2 linked regions of the Saccharomyces cerevisiae S288C genome follow. The protein of the gene in region 1 purifies or fractionates together with the protein of each later gene. This does not show direct contact. Each region holds a gene or a part of one and is shown on either strand. Other genes may lie near its edges.

Region 1 (3,574 bases):
TCAACCTCCACTGTGCGTTTACTTTTGTAAAATAAACCTGCACCGCGTCTTCGGTGTAAGGGACCAAAATCTCAATTGAACTGAACCTAGGATCTTCGTTTTGTCTCCTCAAAACAGCTGGCTCTAGAATGGTTTTCCTGAATGCTTCTTGGCAGTCAGTACCATTAAAAAAAAAATGTGCAGTTTTCCATGCTTTGTTTTCATACAAGTAGGAATTGAAATGTATTGCAACAGCGTCCCAATCAGCAGAGTATGCACCTGGTGCACTTTTGATGATTTCTTTAGAAAGCTGGGTGAGTTGATTTGATAAAGTATATTTACTGTACTGTATTTGAACTACTGGCAAAATAGCAATTAGCGCCAGGATTAGAACTACTGAAGTCAGAAGGGGATAAAACCAAGTACTGGCCATCCCCCACCAAACGGCAAGCGGTAACCATGATAGCGACCAGATCCAAAATCCTGAGTTGCGAATCTCACTGCACAACCATGTTAAACGGTTTCTGAAAATATCCTCGGGCAAACAAAAGCTACTATGGGTCTCAAGACCTTTAGAGGACAAAAGTCTAATCTCTTCCCCCATATTCAATATAGTGTATTTCACATTAATGTTATGAGGTACGTAACAAGTTTACTGAGGTTTAATCACTCGCAGTGTTTTTTATATAATTCGCAAGATGAAATTTGTTGACAGCGCGTTCATCACGCAGCTGTTGAGTTTTATAGTTAAAGCCACGATCAAAAAAAGAGCAACAGCTTCGAGCAGTTTCGAGTGAAAGAGAATCTATGTTGGTTTATGTTCCGGAAGCACGGGAGAAATGGACTTCACTCAAGTACCCAAGTTATCACTAAAATGTAAGTCAATGTATGTTTACAGATACGAGCTGCGATGTTTTATAATACATGGTACACAATAGGTGAAGTATTGTGGCTTATTTTTGAATTATCAAACAATGTAATAGCTTTCCAAAGCATACCATATAACTCCTATGAATTAAGCGGCGGTCTCATTATAAAGTCGGGACACTTTTTGGTCAAAGCTCTCGATTAGTTTTTGAATACTGTGCAAAGTCTTTAATGATATTGTCATCAGTTCATAATCGAATTCTCTGGTACATTTTTTCTTATTTTATTGATCAATGTTAATGTCAGTTTGCTGGCTCTTGTTTTTTTTTTTTTTTTTTTTTTTTGACTGTTAGTTAAGTTGCCCAGCTAAGCTTACTCAATGAGTTAAGTATTTATTTTCATATTTTCATCATAAAATACTGCGCTATCTCGTGCCCTCGTCTCTTATACAATAGGCAGTACTTGACTAGAATCTAGGAGTGCTTTTCCTGAAACTCTCTATAATAACAACCCATCTCCCGCCGATTGTATAGTGAGCCAAGTGTTCTCATAATGGGGGTCTTGAAGAAGACTTCAATGGTGTCTCATAGTAGCAGTACTAGTAGTGCTAGGAAGATGAGCATTGTACAGCTTACTTTTCGTTATTAGTGATACATGACTGAGTGATTGTAGTTGGTAATACTGGATTAGTAATCGTTAAAAAGCGATAAAAATTAATTGAATGTCCACCCTGCATGATTAGTCCTTTTTATCTGGCTGGACAAATGAAGCCTATTATAAGTATTAATATATTAGCTGCTGCAGACTAGAAACGAAAGCAGTGATAAATCATTGATAGACACACATTTCCTCATCGTTGTTCTTCATTATTTACAGGAAAGAGCAGAGAAAGGAAGAAAGAAATTGCAAAATATATGACAATTAACACAAAGAACATAGTTGTTGTTGGTGCTGGTGTGTTTGGTGTGTCTGTGGCAAATCACTTGTACAGGGAACTGGGTGGGACATACGCAATAAAGCTCGTCACAGCATCTAATTATGTGTATTTTCTACCCTCAGCTGTCCGTTTGACGGTTTCAAAGGATTATACCAAGTCGATCCTGCCGTTAAAAAATGTTCTTGATAGTGGTATTGAAGTTATCAAAGATACGGCTGCCAGCTTTGATGATAAGGAGGTAGTTTTGGGGTCAGACAGGGCCATAAAGTTTGATATCTTGGTTCTTGCAACTGGCTCAAAGTGGGCTGATCCAATTGGTTCAACTTATACCTTCGGGGATAACTATAAAGAGTATTTTGAAAGAGAGGCTTCTCGAATCTCAGATGCAGATCACATACTTTTTCTTGGCGGTGGCTTTGTTAATTGTGAACTAGCTGGTGAATTGTTATTCAAGTATTTGGAGGAGATCAGGTCTGGCAAAAAGCGTATTTCCATTATTCATAATTCCGATAAGCTACTGCCGGACTCTGGGTTATACAACGATACCCTAAGAAAAAATGTGACAGACTATCTCTCAAAAAATGGTATTACGTTGTACTTGAACACAGTAGGGGCTTCTTTAGACACCTCGCCGAAACGTATTTTTCTAGGTGAGGGCTCATCTAAATATATAGATGCTGATTTGATTTACAGAGGCGTTGGTATTTCTCCAAATGTGCCGGTCAACAGTATTTCAGACCTTTGTGACAAGAAAGGGTTCATTCAAGTTGAAAAAAACTTCAGGGTAAAAGCTGTTGAGGCAGGAAACGTTTTTGCCATTGGTGATGTAACGAATTTTAGATATCACGGATTGGTTAAAAGAGATAATTGGGTTGATGTTTTGACCCGAAATGTTATAAGTTCTTTACAAGAAGGAACAGAGGCTAGTCTCGTTGATGCAGATTGTCTTGAGACAGGACATGCCCCAAGTGGTGTCTCCCTTGGGCCAAATGCAGGGTTTGGCCAATTTCCACTACCGTTACTTGGGACGATTAATATTCCATCGTTTTTAATTTCTAGAGCAAAGTCGAAGAATCTTTTCTCCGACAAAATGGAACCTTTATTCAAAAAATAGACTAAAATATGAACTGCAGCGTATATATATATATATATATATATATATTAGTTTCTGTATTGTGAAACAAAGAAGGCCGCTGGAAACAACAAATGTTGAACTTCGCATTCAGATAATAATCTATTAAAACCCGAAGTTACTCGAAAATGTTAGCTTTGGATTCTCACACTATATGTAGTTTCTTTGACAGTAGTAAAACGGTATTACACCTGTGCATTAGAGTTATCAATCGCTTGATAACAATTTGACATTTTGGAGGGTCCATGAAGATAGGTACTGATTTTACTCGAAGTGTGAATGTTTTATACCGAAGTTTTGTTATATAGAGATACAGATATCAACAGGATTGACCACCTTCTTTTTTAAACCTAGTATAATGGGGACGGTGAGAATTAACAGTTAAGGTATAGGCGTGATGCCATGGGAGGGGCAAATACGGAACTGGAGTAAAGTATTGTGTGGTTTAGGTGCTGGGAAAAAGAAAGCATTAGAATGCTCAATAAAACAGCGGCTTCCCGCATAATATTTTTTTGATTATTTCATTCCGAGAAAGGCCGATATATGCAGAGGCTACGTGTTGCTTGCCAACTTCAGTATACTTTGCTTGCCACTACCAGAAATTGACCCCGGGAACTTTATTTTTTAAGTGCCTAAAACTTATTTTCCTGCAGGGCGCG
Region 2 (3,473 bases), on another chromosome or scaffold:
TGGTACTTTTGGAGGCGAATACAAACTTTCATCAGGAACAGAAGGAATAACCGCTGAAGATCTTCCATGTGTAATAATTGAAGATGGCCCAATTCCTATCATGGGTGACATCACTGCAAGTGGATGTTCACTTGGTTCTACAATTGCTTCCTTTATCGGTGGGTTAGATTCCACTGGAAAACTGTTTGATGCTGTGGTTGGTGCTGTCCTATTATACAAATCAGCTGGTAAGTTGGCTTCCACCCGTTGTCAAGGAAGTGGTTCATTCCATGTCGAATTGATTGACGCATTATATCAATTATTCCATGAAAATAAACCAGAAAAGTGGTCCGCTTCTTTGAAGAAATTCAAATAAACTATTTACAACGTAATGATTTTATAAACTGATTAAATAAGGAAGAAAGCCCAAAAAATTGGAAAAAACTTAAGGAATTTGTGCGGATAGTATCTGAAGAATAAATAAGTGTTTTCATAAGTTTTGAAGTTACAAACTAGCTCGTTTAGTTTGTATATGACAGCCTACTTCTCTCGCTTGGTAAGGTTTTAGGATCCTTGTCTAGAGCTTCATATTTTGCAATGGTCTTGGCCTTCAACTCTTCCTCTTGCTTTGGTGTCAGTTTTTCGACCTTCACCCCAGGAGGAACAAACTTGAATTTACCTGTGGCAAACTCTCTGTCTGATAACCTGCTTAGAACATATAGTTGAGAATAAATGTATCTCACAACAGACTCTAAATGAACCATATCAATGTTCTTTCTTCCACCAAAAAGATTTCTCCAGACAGCTGTCGCAAGTGTACCATCATCTGTAGCAAATCCTTCATCATATGCAAATATCGCTCCTCTTAATTGCGTATTGAAATCTTTCAAATATTGATCTGCGATTCTACCAGAATTAACTTTCATTTCCTCGAATAATCTCAGCTCAATGTCAGAAAATGTTCTATCTACCAATTTCTGCTGATAGTTTCTGCCGTATTTGAAAGGCATGGCTCTCATACGTACAAAAAGTATCCACTCGTGCAATACAGTGATTTGAAACCATTGTGAAAAAGTACGTGGTAGCTTCAAATCCTCGTAAAAGTATTTAGCAGTTTCTGATAATGGCTCGTCCTCGTATTGTAAACCTTGCTCTTTACAAATTTTATAATAGTAAGATCCTGCAACGGGCCCTGCCCTCACTCTATCCATATCTAAATGAAATGCTCGAATTACTAGTTCACCCAAGGCTTCTTTCCATTTGGGAAGTTCGTACTTTGACGATTCATATTTACTATGAGCTAGAGGAATTTTATTCTGAGCAGTTTTCACTGGTGCTTTATTGCTTACATCTAGTGGTTTCGAATTCAGATGTGAGCTTTTTGCTAAAAGCTCTGGCGAATCTTGTGCAGTTTCTTTATTTTGCTTGAAAACACATGTTTGATGCAAATAAGCTCTCGAGTAGTAAAAAGGGGACTTTCTAAGGAAAACAGGGAGTCGACCTGAAGTAAATCTATTGACTGACATCATCAAGTGTTGGAATAGCTGAAGAGATTGTTACGGAGATCATAGTGTTTGCTAAATATTAATCTTACTAATGCGTCAGTCGAGGACCAATTTTGACGTTGTTTTCCTTGCTGGCTATAAATTCAGAAGAACGCCGGGTAAAGCCTAAATACAACTCCAGTCAGACGCCCTGAAATGGGCCAATTTATATACGAGGAATAATGAATGGTGAAGATTAAATAGTAAAAGATATTTCTAATATCTTTCTAAGGCGTATACAGGAAGAGTGATTTGAACTGCAGAGTTGTTTCTAGTTGCGTTCTTCATCCTCTCGTCGTCTTGAAATAAGTTGACATTCAATCTCCTCTAATATACCCTGCACATCAAGATGTGCAGCTTTATCTACTCGTTGAGAACTTATCCCATAGCCTGAAACATGACTAATATGCTTATACCTCTGATGATTTAAAAGCTTCGTAAGAATATCCTCTTGCCTTTTTCTTTTCGTTTCAACTATAAATTCGAGGTCTATCGTCCTCAATTGTTCGAAATGAAAATTCAAAGGATAAATCAAATTTTGTTGCTTTTTGAGAAGTGCTCTTTCACATTCTCCAAGGTGAGCTACGTCTTTTAAAATCGCTTCCAAAACGAGATCATTCTTTGTCCTTGATAGTTTTTTGGAAATTTTCTCCATGTTGGAAAAATGTTGGCCGTTGGATGTACAAGTTGTCTCAATTCTTTTCAGTTCAGGAAACGTGAACTCGTTATTTTTCAAAAGTTTGTGATTTTTTTTGAAGGTTTCATCACATTCAATACGCCTTTTAATTTTGAACTGTTGCTTGTATGATACTTCAATACGGTCCATTTTGGATGTCAAAGCTTTCTTCAATTGTCCCTCATTTTCTCTTAAATCATCCAACCTATCTACTAACATATGTATATCTTCTATATCGTTGAAGAAAGCCCATTGATGATGAGAGAGTAGGAGCTTTTCTGGAGTTTCTGATATAATTTTTTTGTCTATGAATGCCGGAATAGTTGGCCTCATTAAGATACCGTTTGAATTAATTATCATGAAATTCTCACCTTGAGCAATTTGATAGTAAGACCCGTCTGTCGACCTAAATATTGAAAAGACTTCTTTTGTCGCGTAGGCAGTACCTTTTGCTTTAGCTAACAACTCCCATTTTTTCAAAGATTCGACGTCGACATCTAAGCAAAAGTTTATATCCGCTTCAGAGGGTCCTTGAACCCACAAAAAACAGCAGTTGTAAAGTTCCTCATTTTTTTCACTGATGGCTGATGACGATCCATTTGAGTCCATCCAATAATATCGATTTCCATTTCTATCTTTACCCAAAATCTCTAGTCTCTTGATATCGCTCTGAATCAATTTTGCCTCTAGGAAGGCGATATCTTCCATTAAGTATGCAATTTTCACTTTAAGGGCATTGACCTTACCTTTACATTCATCTGATCCATATCGGTTCATTGAAACGTTGCTGTGAAGCTTCACGCGATTTTTGGTTAACGTTTTTAGTTGCCGTTTCAATTTGATATACTCTTTTTTTGCACTATCCAACTTTAAGCGGATTCCATTGCACAGTTTTGGTACTTTATCTACCAACTCCTTAATATAACTCGAGAAATTGGACGCAAAATCTACGAGAACCCATAAAACATCAATTTTATCTTTTATAGATAATCTCTTGCGAAAGTTATCCCAGAGCTCATCACCTAAATTTACAAAATTCATGGATAAAGGTAGTATTTTTTTTGTGATACATTTTGCGACATCACTATATGCTATCATATGTGTATTCTGTTGCAAGATTCCAAGGAGACAGATCAACCAATTGCCGTTGCTAAAGTTTTTATTGTGCAAAAGTTTAACCCAGCTAGTATCTCCATAGTTCAAACACTTTTCTATAGCTATATCAATTTCTGTTTTATTTCCTTCCTCCTTTCGCTTTTCTTCAGTCCAATTGT

What was found.
Region 2: the proteins of AIF1 (region 1) and CBP3 purify together in Saccharomyces cerevisiae (affinity purification with mass spectrometry, with the first as the bait; one large-scale study listed by BioGRID). This does not show direct contact.

The regions. Positions count from the first base shown.
Region 1 is NC_001146.8:776,925-780,498, reverse strand, and holds AIF1 (Aif1p), read left to right. Parts: upstream 1-1,760; coding exon 1,761-2,897; downstream 2,898-3,574. Other genes in the region: COS10 (Cos10p), read right to left, coding at 1-583. UniProt on the Saccharomyces cerevisiae protein: Putative FAD-dependent oxidoreductase involved in the resistance to cercosporin and other singlet oxygen-generating photosensitizers. Translocates from mitochondria to the nucleus under apoptotic conditions, where it degrades DNA and induces apoptosis.
Region 2 is NC_001148.4:145,451-148,923, reverse strand, and holds CBP3 (Cbp3p), read right to left. Parts: upstream 1,509-3,473; coding exon 501-1,508; downstream 1-500. Other genes in the region: THI6 (bifunctional hydroxyethylthiazole kinase/thiamine-phosphate diphosphorylase), read left to right, coding at 1-355; YPL216W (uncharacterized protein), read right to left, coding at 1,795-3,473. UniProt on the Saccharomyces cerevisiae protein: Chaperone required for the assembly of ubiquinol-cytochrome c reductase of the mitochondrial respiratory chain.